Linked DNA regions of Rattus norvegicus. Each later gene encodes a partner of the first gene's protein in a complex. Links are inferred from orthologs where the notes say so. Each region holds a gene or a part of one and is shown in the gene's direction. Other genes may lie near its edges.

Region 1 (10,106 bases):
ACATTTAACATGTTCGTGTCTCTCCTGAGAGAATGACATGCTCAGAGAAGATAATTAATCACCATCTGCTCCACTCCCTTAGAACTTTAAAAGCAGGTTTTTGAAAAGAAAACCAAAAATTAAAAAAAAAAAAAAAAGAATAGAAAAATGGGGGCTGGAGAAATGGCTCAGTGGTTAGGAGCACAGACTGGGGGTGATTCCCAGCACACACATGGTGGCTCACAACCATCTGTAAATCCACTTCTAAGGGATTGGACTTCCTCATCTGTCTTCTGTGGATACCAGGGATACATGTGGTGCATAGACATAAAATAAAAATTAAAATAATTTTTAAAAGAGGAAACAGGCACTATCTTTTAAAAAAGAAAAAGGAAGTGTGGAATAACTGATGGAGACGGCGTAGTATGTTAGAAATGGCTGCATTCAGTAGCAGAGTAACATCGGGCTTGGTCTTCCCCCAGGTTTTTGTTTACAGATTACAATAGACTCTCCAGTGTGGGAGGAGAAACTTCCTTGGCTGAAATGATCGCGACCCTCTCAGATGCTTGTGAGAGAGAATTCGGCTTTTTGGCTACCCGTCTTTTTCGAGTCTTCAGGACTGAAGAGTCTCAGGGTAGGATTGCTCCCCTCCCCCTCTTCCTCCCTTCCTCCTTGGAATGTTTCTAGGGCTGAGGAAGGAAATAAATGTTCATTTATCTTCATGAGCCCATGAGTTGACCCTCAGAGTCGTCATGTGCTCTCGACCATAAAGATTTTGTTAATACTGTTTATTCTATTACAGGTAAAAAGAAATGGAAAAAAACATGCTGCCTCCCCTCTTTTGTCATCTTTCTTTTTATTGTTGGCTGCATTATTGCTGGGATCACCCTTCTGGCTATATTCAGAGTTGACCCGAAACATCTGACAGTGAATGCTATCCTCATTTCTATCGCATCTGTCGTGGGGTTGGCCTTCGTGCTCAATTGTCGAACATGGTGGCAAGTGCTGGACTCTCTCCTGAATTCTCAGAGAAAACGCCTCCATAGTGCTGCCTCCAAATTACACAAGTTAAAAAGTGAAGGATTCATGAAAGTAAGTGCTCTCATCAGAAAAACTGTACTGGGAACATGCTGCTGTCACCATGCCAACTTGGACATGCTCTCGAAATGTTAGAGTTACATTTAAGGGTAGGGACTGAACCCGGGACCTTGTGTACACCAGGCAAGTACCTTACCACTCAGCTATATGTCCAAGACTGTTGCATTTAACCTCGTTTAGTTAGTTTGTTAGGTTTATAGGAAAATCCATATTTACCCCATGTATCTTGTGTATCCTCTGTTATCAACAGCTGTCACCAGAGTGATGCATTTGTTCAGTCCCCTGTATTGTAGTCAGACTCAGTTTGCATTAGGTTCAGCCTTGGTGCTGTACACTCTTTGGGTTTGCATAAGTGTTTGATAGCATAACATATGCAAGATTACAGTATGTTTACTGCCGTGAAAGTGCCTGCTTTCCTGTTCAGCCTCTGTCTCTCCCCAAACATGTCAGACCCTGAGGAGTTCACCGACTCAGTAGCTGCGTCTTTCCCATGATGTCATGTAGTTGCAACCATGCAGTATGTAGCCCTTTCCTATTGACTTCTTTCATCCCTTTCATGGCTTAAAATTCCGTTGCTTTTTAGGCCTGATGAATATTGTTGCCTGAATGAAGAGTGTACATTTATTCAGTAGTTATGAATACAATTGCTATAAGTATCTGTGCTCAGGTTTTTGTGTAGATGTAAATTTTTTAGCTCTTTTGATAAATAACAAGAATTATAATTACTGAACTTTATAGCATGAGTATATTTAACTTTGTTTAAAACTAGATGCCACCAAGGAGCCAAGGGTATTGTAGCCATTAGTAGGTGTTTTGGGTGGAATTCAAGTCCAAGGCTTTTGTCATTCAGAGTCTAGTTCTGGCAAGTAAGTCTCTCAGCCTCCTCTGTAGTCAGTCCTACCACAGCATCCCCTGATGACATTCTAAGAGTCAAGTATTGTCAGTCCATAACTGAAACCCTTGCAACAGGTTTAAATGGAACCACTGCCAGCAGCAAGAACTTCGGGTTTCTTTTCTTCCCTTTAGATGGGTTTCTCTTGTGCTTCTAAAGGAGTGTGCCTTACCTTCTTGTGTCTTCTGTGCTTTGTGCAGGTCCTGAAGTGTGAGGTGGAGCTGATGGCCAGGATGGCAAAAACCATTGACAGCTTCACTCAAAACCAGACAAGGCTGGTGGTTATCATTGACGGCCTGGATGCCTGCGAGCAGGATAAAGTCCTTCAGATGCTGGACACTGTATGTCTCACTGTCTCACTGTCTCAGCTTGCCACTGTGGCCACGTAGGATGCATGACTTCACAAAATATCTCAGTTAGGATGGAAACTGTGCTTCTTATTTAAGAAACACTGCTTTCTTTAGTGAAACTCTCTTTCATAAGAACTATATTTTAAAATTCAGAATTACAGCAAAAGTTAATGTTTGATCAAGAATGTTTAAATCCTTTCAGCCTGATGGTGCTTTAGGAAAAAAATACAGCAAAAACTCACACGGAGTATCTCTAAATGACAAGCGTGGCTGAGCTGTGCAGGCTGTCATGTTTGTACTCTGAGATGACAGAGGAACCCATAGATTTTGTAGTGTTGTTAAAGCAGACTGCTGTAATCTGAGGTTTGTTATAACAGCAGTGCTTAACCGAGTGTACAGAACTCACGTGTGCTCCCAGAAAGTTGCCTCGCATGTTGAGCTTGCTTTTGTGTAGGCTCCAGGTGTCTGAGAAGGAAACCCCTAAGATTGAGCCATCTATAAAAGTTGTTTTTATAGAGAATACATTTTGATGAGAAATGAATGATATTAAAAGATAAAGCACCAAAGGATAGTACAGATTTTAAAAAGGAATTTTTTTTGTACATTTTAAAAATTTGTGTCACATCCATACCTTTCTTCTACCACAGGTCCGAGTTCTGTTTTCAAAGGGCCCTTTTATTGCCATTTTTGCAAGTGATCCGCATATTATCATAAAGGCCATCAACCAGAACCTGAATAGTGTGCTTCGTGACTCAAATATAAACGGACATGACTACATGCGCAATATAGTTCACTTACCAGTTTTTCTTAATAGTCGTGGGCTTAGCAATGCAAGGAAATTCCTTGTAACTTCAGCAACAAACGGGGACATTACATGCTCAGACACCACAGGTAAGCGTCAGCCCTACAGTACTCAGGCTTGAAGTAATCTGGAAGGTTTTTTATAGTTTCTCTTTGCCTTGAAAAATGTTTCTATTTTACATCTCTTTAATATCACACAAAACAACCCTGCACACAGTGCTTGTATTGATGACTTCCGTTGCTGAGATGAAACACCATAACCAAGGCAGCGTGTAGAAGGAAGGGTTTATTTCGCTATGGTTCCGAAGGGATAAGACTCCAGCACCGTCATGCAGGGAAGTGTGGCAGTGTGTGGACGGCATGGCGGCTGGAGTAGGAAGTCGAGAGTTCACATCTCACACTGCAAGCAGGAAACAAGAGAGCAAACACAAATGACATGCATCTTCAAACTCTCAAAACCGTCTCTCCGGGGACACACTTCCTCCTCAGGCCTCACCCCAAACCTCCCCAACAACAGCATCAAGTGGGGGCAAGTGCTGAAACTCCCGAGACTCTGGGAGACTCATCTTAACCACCATAGCGCTGTCTCCATGCTTTCTTCCAGGAACACAGGAGGACACTGACAGAAGAGTTTCACAGAACAGCCTTGGGGAGATGACAAAGCTTGGGAGCAAAACGGCTCTCAACAGAAGGGTAAGGTGCCATTCGTGCCACTTAACCTAATGGTCTGATTGACTTTTCCTCAGAGTCTTGGGGTTGAACCCAAAGCCTTGTGCATGCTAGGCAAATATTCTGCCACTTAGCCATACCCTGACTCTGATTTTTTATTTTTTTAGCAGTCATTCAAATAAAGTTAAGTGAGTGACACCTCATGTTCTTCAGTAAACATGGTGGTAAGCTCCTGAGATCAACATCAGTGCTGAGCTTCCTATCAGCATCAACTGCCTCTGAGCTGCCTGGGGCAGTAAGGACCGTGGTCTGGGAGGAGGCCTGCTCCTCGGCAGCCTCTTCCCAGGTCATGAGGTGACTGCTCCTCCAGTAGTAGGACTCATAGCCAGCAAATGATCGTGGCCTCACACTCATTCCTGAGCAGGTGCCATCCTTACTTTATCTCTCTAGGTTCTTCCTCCTTGCCCAGCATTTGCAAGGTCTGGATCGTAGTCTCCACACCCAGCTGTGGTTCTAGCCCTTCCCAGTCTCCTTGGGTTTCTGGTCATTACTTCAGACTCTGTCCATTCATAATATTTGTAGGGCAAAACCAGATGTATTTATCTAGGCTCATAAAGTGGGAGGATGTTCTCTGGCAGGGAGCCTTGCTGATCGTGTCGCTCAGGGGTGGCCAACATGGGCTTACACTGGCCTTGCCTTTCTTCTTGTTTGCTACCATTTGGACATTACTTTTTAAACCTCATGTCTTTGGTTTTGTGCCCACATGCTTTACAGGTTATGAATTCAGAGTTAATATGAATGACAAATGATATAGCCAAAGTCAGGGGAGTGTGTGATTCCACATTGTGAATTTCTTTCCTGGCAGCCCCAGTTCTTGGGTACCAATGGTTTCGACCTTTTCCATGCTTTAGGACCCAGGATTCCTTATCCACTCCCCTACTCTGCAGAGTGCCTTCAGCTCTCTGAGGAAATGCCATTCCCTGGCTGTGCCTGGGATAAAACAATGTAACACTTTGAAACAGCCTAAGACAGAGAGGCTGAGTCCCTGAAACCATGAAGGAACCTACCTGCTTCATTGTTTTATGGTTCCTGAAGCACGGCTTCATGGAGCTTGACTGTGATTCTCTTTCTGGAGTTCTGTGTACCTCTCATCTGAGACATTAAGCTTTCCCTCACTGTACGGTTGTCAGTGTACATGGGCTAGAACCTGCCAACTACTGTGTAGCTGCTCTGGAAAGTGTCTGCCTTAGAAGCACCCACACTTGATTAGCCTGTAACTGTTCTCTTCGGTTAATATTGTGAATTGTGTTTTTCTTACCCACTGAGTACTCTGCTGTCTGTTTTGTTGTTCCTACCACAAGCATCCATGTTAACCCTCAAGGATGGATGTTTCTCTCTCATTGGTGCTGTCGTTTCAGGACACTTACCGCAGAAGACAGATGCAGAGAACCATCACGAGGCAGATGTCCTTTGATCTCACAAAGCTGCTAGTCACTGAGGATTGGTTCAGTGACATCAGCCCTCAGACCATGAGACGGCTACTCAATATTGTTTCTGTGACAGGTGACTTTTATTTTCCATGTTCTGTGATAGATAATAGTTTTTATTTTGTTTATTTTATTTTATTTTTTTTTTTTGGAGCTGGGGACCGAACCCAGGGCCTTGCGCTTCCTAGGTAAGCGCTCTACCACTGAGCTAAATCCCCAGCCCCTGTTTATATTTTTTTGAGGTAGTAGGTATTGAACTCAGGGCTTGTGCAAGCTCCGTGAATGTTCTGCTATTGAGTTATCCCCCAGCCACCACCACAAGCTTTAAAGTTAGCAGAGCGCTTTGAGTATAAGCTCTGTTTGTAGTAGTAGTTGACAGTAGTAATTGACAATCTGATATCACTTGGACATTTATTTTAAAATTTCATGATTTTAAAGGTCTTTTGCTTTATATTTAGGCTAAATTTATGTAGTTTACATAACAGTACAATTAATATTTGTGCTGAAACTCAGATTTTTATATACTGCTATGTTGTTTCAGTTTTTATATAATATTTTGAATAAAAATGTTTGTAATGCAATGGGGACTGTTAGCCAGGCAGTGGTGGCACACATCTTTAATCTCAACACTCTGGAGGCAGAGGCAAGCCTATCTCCTTCTGATCAGGTTCAAGGCAAGCCTGGTCTACAGAGTGAATTGTAGGACAGCCAGAGCTACACAGAGAAATCGTGTCTTGAACACCCCCAAGCCTGCCCCGCCCACTCCCCAAAAGGTGCTTATTGCTGTGACTGAATTCTGTGTGGATGCTGCTCTTCTGTATGTGAAGACTAGCATTAAAGCAGTCATAGACACACTTTGCCATTTAACTTATAGAGTGGGTTTCTTCCCTTGCATGGTATTGCCTACTACCTTCTGGTATTTCCTAGTGTTGATTCTGTCAACTGGAATTGCATTTTATACTAGTTTAGGGCTCATGACATAAACTGTATTATTGGTGGGATCATACCTAAGATAGCATTTTTATAGTTAAATCTCTTTAAATGAGACCTCAACCTTCCCATGCTGGTTCGAAAGAGGAACTATTTCCTGCTATTATTGCTAACACTGATATACTCACTTGGCAATAGGTCCTATCATCCTCCTTATGCCAAAGGATTGGTCTGGACATTGTAGAAATTAAACAGGAATTAAGGCAGCAGCTCTCCCCCTCATTACCTTCCTTCCCTGGGACTTCTGGCTCTGCCCTGCCTTGGCCCTCACTTCTGCTCTCAGCACAGCTCCTTGGTAGAGTACACTCTCTCATACTGCTCTCCACCCAGGCCTCCCAGACTTCCCACATGGAGCACACAGGGCCAGGGCCCCATCCTTGTCTGGACCCCACAAGCATGTAGAAATGACGTCCCTCTAACTGTGCCAGTTAGCATATTGTTTCCTCTTGCTCTTTAACTTTGGGCTGCTCGTGATCACAGTTCTTGGGGATCAGGTTTGTATCTTGACTGGTTTCATTAACATGGCCTGTCATGGTTCTCCGCCTGTGTGAGCAGTGAGTTTGCTCAGTTCTGCCCCTTCTAGCTTACATGTGAGCTTCCCCATGAGACCTTCCTGCATCTCAAATGGACTGACTCTTCCTCCTCCTTCCACATTTGATCCTCCTCCTCCTCCAAACAGCTGTCTTCCGACAGACACTGTCTTTGTCTATTTGCTCTCTGGAAGGGGACACCCTCATGCCAGGGTCTTTGTCTGATCTGCTTAACTGTCGTACCCACTTCAGCATCTGGGATTGATTGTGAATGAGTAAGAGACCTGAATGAAGTTAGAACCACACTTTACATGCTTCTTGAGAGAAGCGTTCTGAGGAAAAGGAGCAGCATCTGCAAAGGCTGTGAGCTGGATTCTGAGAACAGCTAGAGTGCCAGCCTGAGTGGAGTCGGAGGAGCAGAGTGGTGTGACGTGGTGTGAGACAGCTGCAGCTCATTTGAGGCCTTATGGCTCCAAAACGGGAAGGACTTTAGATTGCTGACATCTTCAGGTACGCCAAAGAGACCTGGCCTGATACCTCTAAATGGTAGCCAGGCCAGTGGTACAGACTCAACATGTTAGCCACTCCCAAGGCTCAGGCACGAGGCTCTCAAGTTCACGGCCAACCTGGGCAACTTAGTGAGTTGGATGTGGAGGTTTACATCTGTAATCCTAGCACTCTGGGAGTGGAGGCAGGAGAATAGGTATGTCAGAGCCAGCCAGGCTACTTGAGACCCTATGTTTTAAAAACCAAAAACTCAGCCTTCTACAAGAAGTATATTGTCAAGCTTGTTTCAGTGCTCGGACTTTCATTTTTATTGTTGCCCCAAAGACACATTCAGCTAAATACTCATCTAGTTACTTCACAGGTTGGTGTGTGTTTGTTGGATTTCTCATCTGCTTTGCCGAGTGAATGCTTCTCAGGAAGGCTGTGGCTGTATCATCTGTTCTGTTCCGGGTTTTACCTCAGAGTTAGTATTGTATTCATGGGTCCATAGCTGGCAGACATAGCTCACTGGGATGGAGGAGTCACATCCTGTTATCCACAAGCAAAGCAGATCCACCTTCCAGGAAGGTCAGTGGTGAAAATGCACAGTAAGGGTCTGAGGCAGGGAAGAGCTGGGTGAGGGTCATTGTCTGTACAGTGAAGGTGGGACAGGAGGATTCCCAGGAGAGCCTGTCAGACAGGTGGACGTGAGTCCAGGTATGGACTGACCTGATGATACGAGAATAGAGCTGCTCGTGTTTTTATGTGAGAGCCAAGCCTGTTTGCGATCCTGTCAAGGTGAAGGCGATGAAACACTGGAAGGAAGCCTTGATTCTGAAAGCTCACCAGTTTCAGTTGTCCTCAAATAGCATGCCCTGGGAGGAGAGCTGAGTTCAGTCCTCTGAACACCCTACAAACAGGCTCTTTTTATCAATAATGTAGACAACAAGTTTTAGATTCATTGTAATTAATATGATCTATCCCAGTAGGTAAGAAGGGAAGTGAATTAAGCCATAAAACAAAGACAGACCAGTATGTTTGGGTTCCATTAAGGACCTGGAGAGGTCCTTAGCAGTCAGCAGTGAGAACTACCATGGTGTTTTATTTTGTTTGTTGGTTTATTTTTTGAGACAGCCTTACTGTGAAGTTCAGGTTGGCCTCAAGACTTCTACTTCAGCCTCCTGTGTGCCAGGATTACTGATGTCTGCCACTGTGCCCTCTGAATCTTTAAAATCTGGATTTTACAAACCACATAAATACTTGGTTTAAATCTGTATTGTAACCAAATGTCAAAATTTTCAAATATTTCAATTATTTGTGACTATGCTGAACATTTCACTTAGTATGCATACTAATTTTTGGATGTTTATGGATTTGTTAAAGGGCGGCTACTAAGAGCCAATCAGATTACTTTCAACTGGGACAGGCTAGCCAGCTGGATCAACCTCACCGAGCAGTGGCCGTACCGGACGTCTTGGCTTATACTATATCTGGAAGAGACTGAAGGTCTCCCTGATCAGATGACCTTAAAGACCATCTATGAGAGGTATTTTATTTGACTGCTTTGCACTTAACTCTGCTTTGAATTCTAAAACACAAATAGTGCGTGCAAAATCTCTCCTTCTGAATCCAGTAGATCCAGGTCAGGCATCTGAGCATGCGCTGTCGTGATGCGAGAGCGAACAGGCTCAGGGTTCTTGTCCCTATAGCTTTTCCATCGTAGCCCCATGGCCTTTCTCTGGATTGCTGTTTATTCAGGTGTCTGTCCCATGCACCTGGGATGTATAACTTCCTCAGCTGCTCTTGTGTCTTTAGCTCTGCCTTCACGATGTGTGCATCGTTTCCTCCAGGGCCACCTGCATTCACACCAACCCTGTCACACTTTGCTTGTCTTCCTAGGCTTTTCTGAAAAATTTGTGTGTAGTGTCTATGACCCTGTAACATTTCCATTCTGTATGTCTGTAAAACTGGCATCAGATAGGTGACACCGAAGTGTGCAGAGTACTCACATGTTTTGGCGTGTCCCTGTCCCTTCAGTAGCTCATTCCCTTTTCTTCAGAACCTTACATGTGCTACTTGTTTAAAACTAAGGTTTTCAAATCCTTCTGGTCCAGTTTTGCTCTCAGTTCTTCCTGTAAATACGACTGAAAGTAGCTCTTGGCATTTCCTCTGCCGGGTTACGTAGCCCATTCTTTTTTTTTTCTTTTGGTTCTTTTTTTCGGAACTGGGGACCGAACCCAGGGCCTTGCGCTTCCTAGGCAAGCGCTCTACCACTGAGCTAAATCCCCAACCCCTATGTAGCCCATTCTTTAAACTCAGCCCCCCCCCCCTCCGAAGTATAGAATAGAATAGAGTTTATTCAGGGCATGGCGGTGGGAGTTAGGAGGGTAGTAGAGACAGAGAAAGGTAGAGAGGGAGAGAAGAGGAGAGAATTAGAGGCCGGCCATGAGCATGTGGAGGGGGCGCAGGGAGGGACGAGAGGACAGAGCAGGGGCAGGAAGGCAAGAGCAAGAGCAACTCAGCATCTTCTAAAGTCTTAAAGCACAGACAAAACAGACAGGACTGGGCCAGAGAGATGACTCTTGCAGCTGACCTGGGTTTGGTTCCCAATACCCTCTTCCAACTTCTGTGGGCACTAGGCACGCATGTGCTACATGCAGGTAAAACACTCATACACATGAAATAAGTCTAAAAAATATTTTAATGGAGACAGGATCTTTGCCAGAATGTAGTACAGAATGTGTGTGGCCTTCTAGTTCCCTCCTGTTCCCAGCACAGGTCGTTTTGTGCCCGAAGCCTGATAATCAGTGCTTACTGCTCTTGT
Region 2 (10,206 bases), on another chromosome or scaffold:
CACACTGGGTAGAGCTTGGGCATAGGACCTCAAAGCCCACCTTCACAGTGATACACATCCTCCAACAAGACCATACACCTACTTCAACACTGCTACAACTCCTGAGAGTGCCACTCTCTGGGCCAAGCACATTCAAACTACCAACGTATGCCAAGCAGGCATTCTATCATGCAGCTGTGCCCCATACAGGAATGCTCTTTTGTAAGTTGCAAAATACCTTACAACAACAACAAGAAAGCGCTCAAGGGTCTGGGAAGATGGCGGAGGCTGTAAAGTGCCTGCTGCTATGTAAGCATGAGGGCATGCGGTTTTGACTCTCCAGCACCCATTTAAAAGCTAGGCCTTGTGGGGCTGGGGATTTAGCTCAGTGGTAGAGCGCTTACCTAGGAAGCGCAAGGCCCTGGGTTCGGTCCCCAGCTCCGGAAAAAAAAAAAAAAAAGAACCAAAGAAAAAAAAAAAGCTAGGCCTTGTAACTCCAGTGCTGGTCACCAGGCGTTCATTGGTCAGGCAGCTTAGCCAAATGATTGAGCTTCAGGGTCAGGGAGAGATTTTGTCTCAAAAAAATAAGGAGAAGAGTAATAGAGGAAGACGAATGATGTCAACGTCTAACCTAAATAGGCATACAAGCACACATGCAAACATACATGCATATATACCACACACACACACACACACACACACACCCCAGTGAGGTATATCTAATTTCAGTCGTGTTAAAATAAAAGTATTTTCTAGAAATCACCATTTACTGACTACCTTGAAACTGTATTTGAAATTCCTAGTGTTGTTTGGCTCTTTATTTTCTGAGATTTATTTTTATTTCACATGTATGGGTGTCTGGCCTACATGTGTGTGTCTGTGTAACACATGTATGCAGTGCCCCGAAGACAGTGTTGGATTTCCTGGAGCTAGTTATGGATGGTCGTGAGCTGCCATTTGCGTGCAGGGATTGAAACCAGGTTCTCTAGAAGACCTCTCTGAAACCACTGAACATCTCTCCAGCCCCAATGTGCTTTTATTTAGAGATAAGTAGGGAAGTTGATGCCCAGGCACTCTCCGGATGAATGTTTTTGAACTGGGCAAACTTTCGAGATGTGCGGTCTTGCTAAGAAAATATTTAAATAACAAGAAAAATTGGGCATTCTTCATGTCATTTTTAAAGGAGTCACAGATCATTGAAAGCTCAAATTTCAAACTTCTGCTGAGTCTGTAAATTGATCCCATTTTAAAGCTGCACCGGGTCCTGCATGAGGGTGAATCTAGGCTGGACTTTGGACATGATCTTTACTCCCGTGATACCGTGGCTCTCTCAGCCTCAGCAGGAGGTGTACCTTAAGGTTCACTTTCTCAGCTGGGCAATTCCTCTGCATTCGGCTTGATCACTGGTCTTATTTTTTTTTTTTTCCGAGCAACAGTTGGGCTTTATATTTATCACACATAATTCTAAGGTTTAAAGCAGTTACTTTGTGGGAAGTATAATTGTTCCCAAACTTAGAATTATGTGTGATAAATATAAAGGGTTCAGAGCCAGTACTTATGAATTTCTAAATAAATTGCTGGGTATACTATTAGATCCTCACTCCTGGCCACTCTACAACAGGTTCAGCGAATAAACACAGCATGGGAAGGACGAGGGTTCTGCATTACTTAGCCTCCACCAAGCCTTCGTGTTATCCTTTTCTTCATGTATTCCTTTCGGGTTATTAATGACATTGGACTTGCTAACCCCAGAAGCTTAGAAGTCATACAGTTCAATGTCTCTGTGACATTTGGTTTATTGATCGGTGCCTCCTTTATGAAACCACCTTTTACAGCTGTCTCAACATCACTCACTCCTAACTGTCTTGCTGCCTGCTCTGGCCACATCTCAGCCTTCTTCCTCGACCTTTCTTCATCAGCGTTGCACAGGGATGCTCCCTTGACCTCTTTGCCCTTCCGGTCTGTGCTTTCTCGATTTAAATATCATTTAGGTGTGAACCACTTCCCAGTCTTCAGGCTCAACCCCTTAGAATTGGAGACTTCCAAATGCCTAAGTCAGTGGTACTCCCAAACCTACTCTCTGCTTACATTCCTCATCTCCGTGTAGGGCAGCACCGTCTTCCCCTGTCATTAGATTCATAGGCCACATCTGGCTTGAACTGTTGCATCCACAGAAGCATAATGTGACGCTCAAAGGTACTCTGGGGGCTGGGCGGCAGGGGCGCTCATGCAGGTCTACTGCTCACTAGGTGGGTGATCTCCTGTAAGATGTTTCCCTGCCTTCACCTGGCTCCGAAGAGAGGTTGAAGATAGCACCTACCTCCTCCAGGTTCTCATGAGGATTAACTTTGCACTTGCAGGTGTCCGGACAAGTGCCAGTGCAGAGAAAGTGCTTGCTGACCCATAGGAACTTTCCAGTTATGGATGGGAAGAACGCCCAGCTTCCCGAAAAGGGCTGTCAATGCAGAATCTCATCTAGTCCTCAAAATAATTCGTTAGGGAGGTATTCTAGTTGTCTTTGGAGAGCTGTGGAAACTGGGGCTTTAAGGCTAAGATACCTTGCTCAGGACCATATGGAGTTTTATTTAAGAGCTACTCCTAGAGCCAGTGTTGGGAACATTTATATGCACTGCTTACCCAGACCCAAGTTAGGTACTTGCTAAACATTCTTCAGAGACTCCATGTTGGTGTCATGGTCATATTTTACAATCTTGTTCTGACTTCCTTCAGGTGGTGTGGCCTGACTTGCTTTCCTGTTCCATCTCTCCTCCCTTCCTTCTCCCTTCTCGTCATCCTTCCTTTCTCTCCTTCTTCTTTCCTCCCCTACTTTCCTTTTCGGTGACTACTGAATGTCCAAGGGCCAGGCACTGTGCTCAATTCTAGAGGACAAGAAAAATGAGCAGTTTGTCCTATGGTGAGCAGAGAGTGATCAGACCGACCAAGGACGTGCGGAGACCTCACAGACAGTTTCAACCTTTTGGAGGCTGTTTGGGTCAGGTAACATTGTGACACTCTTAAGCAGCTCTGGCATCCTGCTATTTGCCCTTGAGATCTCCGAGGTGTGCTTCTTCCGCTTGTCAGATCGTTGTTTGAGACTGGATCTCAGAAGCATCGCTGCGATGTGCCATCTTTTACTCTCTCCTCAGCCAGAGACACTTGTCTCCTTATAGTATAGATCATGTCGTCGGCCATCAGTCTGTCCGTGGCTTTGACCAGACTTTCCTTCAAAGAAAAGACAGTTTTATGTCATTTTGAACTGTTCCTTCATTCCCAAAGGGCATGACTGGAATATTGTAATGTTCATTCATCAGAGTTTGGTTATACTTACAAGGGAAGTCTTAAGCAAAGGGCCCATCTGGTTCAGAGCAAAACTATTCAGATAATTTTTTTTCTTTTCTTTTTTTTTTTCAGAGCTGGGGATCACTCTACCACTGAGCTAAATCCCCAACCCCTCAGATAATTCTTAAAGCACTTGGCTTTATTCTCTGCCGAGAGTAGGTGTTCAGCAAATGCCATTCAAGTATTTGTTGAAGTATTTGTAATAATGCTAGGAATAAAGAAATTTCTGCTGGACATGGTGGTGTGTACCTTTAATTCTAACACTCAGGAGGCAGAGGTAGGGGAGGATTTCTGTTGAACTAGAGGCCAGCCTGGTCTACATAGAGAATTCCAGGTCAGCCAGGGCTACATAATAAGACCTTGTCTCATTTATTTTTCCTTATCCACATGTGTGGATAAATAAAGATTTTGTGTCTGGCTAGGCATCTGGGCTTTGAGTCAGGCTGGAGAAGAACTAGGAATTATTGGTTTTAGAGCTAGTACTAAGGATTTCATTTTTCCTTCAATCGGACCACAGTTCCTGAATCTTATATACAATTAAGGCTTGGGAGGGCTGCTCTGTGGTAACAGTGTACCCAGTGTATAATGCTCCCCTTCGCCCCTGTTTTTCTCCTGGCACTGTGCTGTTTTAGAAGGGGCCACTTTTTGATGGCAGAGAATTACCAGGCTGCAGGAGTCTGTCTCTTCCTTCTCTTCTCCTTGGCTTTGCTTATCCTTGCTATCTCCTTAAAAGAGATATGCGTTTATTATTTTTAATTATGAATACATGTGTGGGCCCATGTGTGGGTATTTTTATGTGAGTGCAAGCGTCCTTGGGTGCCACGAATACCCACAGAGCTGGAGTTACAGGTGGATTGGGAGCTGCTTGACAAGGGTTCTGGGAATCAAATTCAGGTCTGCTCTTACCTTCAGAGCCATCTCTCCAGCCCTCTGATTACTCTTGACCCAGAGGTTGAAGCTTTTGTACAAACATTTGCCAGAAAGATGTGCTCTTTCCTACCTCATACTCTATCTTTCTCCTGAAATTGAAATTGGCTGAAATTTAGTGGAAGGAAAGGAGAAAAAAAAATATGGTGGTGGTGGTGGTGTGTGCGTGCGTGTGTATGTGTGTGTTCAGAAGCCAACAGAGATCTATATTGTCCCAGGCACAGGTCTTCCCTAGCAAATCTTTGAGTCTCATGAAAGTTGTAAGAGTTAAAGGATAAAGTACATGTAGGGGGTTTAGAACAGTGCTTGCTACAGGGACAAGGATAGACATACTGGAAAAAAATGTCAGCCACTGCGTTATCCAGAGCTCCATCACCTGGGATGGGACCTGGGCTTTTCCCTCAGATAAGTCCTTCAGGGTAGTCACTCTCACATTGAATGTGGTACTTTGGTGTCTCAGTGATATCTTTCTTTCCAGAGGTCAGTCTGGATACAGGACTGTCTCACAGGGAGAGGAAGCATAGAGAATTCTCTTTCCTCTCAACATTGTTTTCCCTCTCAATCTTTGCCCCCAGTCCCAGTTAGCTGGATCGCAAAGTTTCAGTCCTGGTTTGTATTCAGATGTTTTGGCCTTTCTGGTAGTTCTAGGACTACCTAGACAACTACATTGAAATACAGAAGCAACACAAACTTTCTGGCACTGACATTTAAATTGATTTCAACAAGCATTTATTGAGCACCTAGAGCGTGTGAATACAGTTCCCTTAAATACAATTGACTCTTAACTGTTTCAACTGCTCAATTTGGATTTACTGCTGATTCATCTTAAAGGGTTTTATGAAGAATCAATATTAAAATGGAAACAATGTTTGCACAGTTCTCTGCAAACTTGTGTCTGTCTTGTGTGGATTATTGTTGCTCCAGTACCAAGATTAATTGCAGTAACAATAGTGCTGTTTCCCAGGCACAGTGTGGAAAGCAGCTGTAGGCAGACTGGAGGCAGGCGGAAGAGGTCAGGGGAGGTGCCTTCACAGTACGGCCCAAAGGGGCGGAGCATGAGGGAAAGCCCCCGAGGCCACGCCCCGTACTCTGCCCCCTCCGTCGGAGCGGCGTAGGCGGTTACCATGGCGATGACGTCTAGAGGGCGGGGCGGGGCGGGGCTATGGAGAGGAGGAGGAAGATGGCGGGAGGGCGGCTCTGAGGAGACCTCGGCGGCGGCGGAGGAGGAGAGAAGCGCAGCTTCGCGCAGCGCCGGGGCCCATGTGGGGAGGAGTCGGAGTCGCTGTTGCCGCCGCCGCCGCCTGTAGCTGCTGGAGCCGGGTGGGAGTGAGGGGGACACGGCAGGATGAAGTTCGCCGAGCACCTCTCCGCGCACATCACTCCCGAGTGGAGGAAGCAGTACATCCAGTATGAGGTACCCGCGGCTGCTGGGGTTGGGGCGGGCTCGGAGGGGCTGCCATCTCCCTAGGCGCGACCTCCGCCGCTGCCTTGAGCTCCCCGGCCCGGGCGGACTTTGACCCACCGCCGCGGGAAGCCACTGCGGCATCCCCGGCGCTGCTGGCCCCCGGCGGCCAGGCCGTCCTTCCCCTCCCCCGCAGCCCTCTGCCGCCGGGGTAACGGATATGCAGACGGCGGCGAGAGGAAGGGCACAGCCGGGCTGGGGCTGGGGCTGGGGAATAGTGGTGGGAGGCCAAGCCGCAGGTGCGACGGCGGCCCGGGGTCGCGGCGGTTCGGCGTCACCCCCTCCGCACTCACCCTGACCTCTGGTCCCCACCGCGGAAGATCACCCCCTTTGCCAAGGTTAGGTGCTTTTCGCTGCTCACCTCTCGCCAGAGAACCGTGCTCTTGCAAGAAAAACCCCTCCAGCGATTGCCTTCATTCCACCCAGCCCGTCGGCTTACCTCCACTTACCCACTGTTGACAAAGGCTTTGTAACAGGGTTGAAACTTGGTGAAATGTGTATCATCTAATGCAGTGGTTATAGTTTTCAAACGCATCGAACCAATAGTTCTGTTTTGATAAGGAGACGGTGCCTCGTCTTTGTACTGATTGCACGAACTATACAGAATAACCACATCTTTGGGATTTTCACTCTTCTCTGGTTTGGGACTGGAGGGAAGAGGAAGGAGGGAGGAGAATTATTTAAAATTTCAGATTTTTCTGCTAAGTTTTTGGTAGGGAGAAAAAAATCACTGTCATATAAATACTGTACCTTACTTGTGTATTACACAAGTCGTGTTCTTCCTTTCAGTTTCTTCTTCTTGCACAGCTTTTGGACGGTTTTTAATACACATTGTAAGGGACCTTGCATCAATATTGGGAAAAGTAAAGAAGTGAAAACCACTTACATACTTAAAAGGTAGAATACCTGAATGAAAGGGATTTTTTTTTTTTTTTTAAGCTTCAATAGGTTGTTCTCAGAAGCTAGTAGATCAGCTCCTGGAGAGAGAAAAGACAGCGGATCTGTGACCTCCAGGAACTCACATCTATGGTATGAGCAGGAACAAAGAATATAAAATCAATAGGAACATGCACACACATACTAACTAGGTTTTATGAATTAAGATATTTTGGATTTCCTTTTTAACTTTTATATAAATTTAGTGATAGGATGTTTAGGCAACAGCAGCAAGTTCATTTATTCATGTAGCCATTGTAATAATTGAAGAGCGGGGAAAGGGATAGTTAGGTTAAACAGAATCTTGAAGAGTGTAAAATAAGTTTACTTGTAATATATTGTATTTAATGCCAGAAATGAACGGCTCATTACTAATGCTCTCTTGTCAGTTTCCTTGTAATCTTCCCTTGCCACATTCTGTGAGGAAAGGTCCTAACAGTTCAGGCTGTGGAATTGTTGATTTATTGTCTGTAATAACATTCAGTCAGTTTTAAAGCCTTGGCTAGAGTCCAGATGGTGGGTTTCATTGAGACAAGGGCATTGGGTTTTCATCTTCCTACCAGCACTTTCAGCACCGCTGCCAGTTCTTCCCAGAGCTTAGTGCTGGAGCGCGGACAGTGTGGAATGCTTGCTTCTGGTCAGAGGAGCCGTGGTTGGACATATCCTGAGATTCTTTTTAAGTATTTCAACATTTGACTATTTTACAGAATTAATGTGGACTATCTTGGGCTGGAAGGGGAAGCCTAATTTAGTTTAAAAAAATGCAATTAACCCTTGATTTGTAATGTCAGCTTTGTGGCTGGAGTAACAACAGTGACTCTGGGACTCCTCAATTTACAGTCTATTTGGTTACTATTATTTCTAAATGGTTACTCTAGATTGGTCACAGTGGGACAGAATTCCTATGCTTCTGAGCGACTGCATTATCTTTCTCAGACCAATTATAAATTACTCTTGAAAAATTCATTTATTGTGGATAATTGAAATTTGATTCTACAGAGATTTCCCTACTATGTACCTCCTACCTCAGTAAATTCATCGTTCCATAGGCGAGGTGAAAAATAAGGGGCTCTTTTCTTTGTAAGTTGGAACCATTAAAGACATTTGCATGGGATTGCAGTCTTTGTGTTGTGTATTATTTCCAAAGATTTGGTGCTATTCCTTTAAAAATAGCATAGAGGTATAAGTTAGAATTTTTGAGGTCTGGAAATGTTAGAATGTTAGCTTCCTTAAAATGTTAGGGAAGGGACCCTGACTCAAAAAAAAAAAAATTGCCAGGGATAAAAAGTATCTATATTTAAAAGTCAGCTTTTGCTAGGGAAAAAGACCTTCACTTAATTTTTTGTAGTATGTATTTTTACATAGGGGAAATGATGCTCTCTAAAACAGCAGAACAGACTTGGATTTGTTTTTCAAGCATTGTTGATGAAATTTTGATGTATTACCCTTCGTTGAAGCCTAGGCTGCCTTCTAGTACTCTGAACCAACATGAACTGTTCAGCCTCTTTGTCTGTCAGCTTAGTAAATATTACTTTAATCAGGAGGAGCTTTCCATCTATAATTCTATGTAACACTTAATTATATATAATATTATGGACACACGGCTGCACTGTAAGCTGGCTCTTGTGTATGTTAGCTGTGAGGCTCTGGAGAGAATGTTCCTGCTCTTCCTGCTTTCTTCTTCTTTATAAAAAATACATATGAGGCCAGAACCTTTTAAGGCCTTCCCAAGTGTTTGGCTTAACTTTTAATTCTTTTTTATTCTTGAATTGCTGAAATTATTAATGATAGTAGCATATAATATCCTGAAAATTATTAGTCTTCCACTAGAAATGTGTGCTTTCATAGGCAGAATAAGTACAAAGGAATAGAGAGGCATGGGAAGACCATGTACAGGACATCTAGGCGATACTTTGTAGTTTTACTGGGAATAAACACAAATGAGTAGACACTCTCTTTGTTTCTAATAACCCAAGTACAAATCTCAGTGTGGAAAGTAGAACATCAACAAGTATTTCTAACAGTACTTTAAAGAAATGTGGAATCAATGGTTGTATAGTTCAGAGGTCTATAATAGGTTAATCAAAATTAACCCAGGCCAGTTTCATCCAAACAGACTAGTATGATCAGTTAATATTTTATAGAATATTAACAAAGGAGGCAAATATGTTTGAAGCCTTTGATTGATGATGTGATTTTTCGTTCGAGGGTCCTGCTCATTGGTTTCTTAGGACTAAGAATGACTTCAGTAACTACTGTAGAAAGCATAAGGTACTAAAACAATGAGCTCTCTAGAGTTCAGGAATTGAAAGGGAATTTTAAAGATTATCTGTCTCTTTGCTTTTTCAGGCAAAGAAGCTATGGTATATGAAGGTTAAGCTACTTGTCATCTTTTGAATGTGTGCACATGCTCGCAAGCGCACCCCCACACATCCACACCCCCACACCCCCACACACCCACACACCCCCACACCCTCACATACCCCCATACCCCCACACAGCCCCACACCCTCACACACCCCCACACCCACACATCCACGCACCCACACACACCCACACACCCACATCCACACACACATCCACACACTCACACCCACACATCCACATACCCACACACACCCACACACCCCCACACACCCATACACCCACACACCCACACACACCCATACACCCACATACCCATACACACCCATACACCCACATACCCATATACACCCACATATCCACACATCCACACACTCACACATACCCACACACCCACACATCCACACACACCCACACACACCCATACACCCACATACACCCACACATCCACACACCCACACACACCCATACACCCACATACCCATATACACCCACATATCCACACACCCACACACACCCACACACACCCATACACCCACATACACCCACACATCCACACACCCACACACACCCATACACCCACATACCCATACACCCACATACCCATACACACCCACACATCCACACACCCACACACACCCACACACACCTATACACCCACATACCCATACACACCCACACATCCACATACCCATACATCCACACACCCACACACACCCACACACACACCCACACACACCCACACACCCACATACACCCACACACCCACATACACCCACACACATCCACACACCCACACACACTCACACACCCACACACTCACACACCCACACACTCAGCTAGCTTCTTGAGCACTGTATGTTTTAGTATTGGGAAACAGGTCACATTAGCTGTGTGATTGAACACTGATGGATTCTGAGTAAGCCTCATATGATCTACCATTCATCTAAAGTTCTGTGCTTTGTTATGGTTTAATTAAGTTTATGAAGAGAGAATTTAGGAAACTATTTTAAATTCTAATATGAAATTAATGTTTAAAAATCACCTTTTCAAAAACTTTAGTAAAACGCCAGTCATAGTGACTCCCAGCACCAGGGAGGCAGAGGCAGGAGAATCTTTGTGAGTTGAGATCAGCCTGATCTACATGGTGAGTTCCAAAGTCACATAATGAGACCCTGTCTCAAAAACCAAACCAAACA

The links. The genes of interacting proteins can lie anywhere in the genome.
Region 2: the proteins of Kidins220 (region 1) and Xpr1 are in contact, whole or in part, in a cryo-EM structure (PDB 9JXQ), measured with the Homo sapiens proteins. The link is inferred for Rattus norvegicus from reciprocal best matches to the Homo sapiens genes KIDINS220 and XPR1. Residues at the interface, in NP_065789.1 of Homo sapiens: Glu36, Cys37, Gln39, Asp70, Trp72, Met102, Trp105, Trp110, Tyr113, Lys114, Val138, Ile142, Trp143, Gly146, Arg147, Ser166, Asp167, Lys168, Tyr169, Gly170, Trp176, Arg179, Lys180, Gln198, Glu199, Gly200, Ala201, Ser203, Lys234, Arg267; in NP_004727.2 of Homo sapiens: Leu95, Lys189, Lys190, Gln193, Glu197, Ala200, Asn204, Glu205, Ala636, Asp637, Asp638, Leu641, Leu642, Gln644, Met645, Met646, Asp647, Gln648, Asp649, Asp650, Val652, Arg653, Asn654, Arg655.

The regions. Positions count from the first base shown.
Region 1 is NC_086024.1:47,384,095-47,394,200, forward strand, and holds part of Kidins220 (kinase D-interacting substrate of 220 kDa), read left to right. Parts: intron 1-461; coding exon 462-613; intron 614-781; coding exon 782-1,071; intron 1,072-2,169; coding exon 2,170-2,310; intron 2,311-2,966; coding exon 2,967-3,210; intron 3,211-3,724; coding exon 3,725-3,813; intron 3,814-5,207; coding exon 5,208-5,352; intron 5,353-8,665; coding exon 8,666-8,828; intron 8,829-10,106. UniProt on the Homo sapiens protein: Promotes a prolonged MAP-kinase signaling by neurotrophins through activation of a Rap1-dependent mechanism. Provides a docking site for the CRKL-C3G complex, resulting in Rap1-dependent sustained ERK activation.
Region 2 is NC_086031.1:70,131,454-70,141,659, reverse strand, and holds the start of Xpr1 (xenotropic and polytropic retrovirus receptor 1), read left to right. Parts: upstream 1-5,495; 5' UTR 5,496-5,590; coding exon 5,591-5,659; intron 5,660-6,646; exon of another isoform or gene 6,647-6,733; coding exon of another isoform or gene 6,734-6,736; intron 6,737-10,206. UniProt on the Homo sapiens protein: Inorganic ion transporter that mediates phosphate ion export across plasma membrane.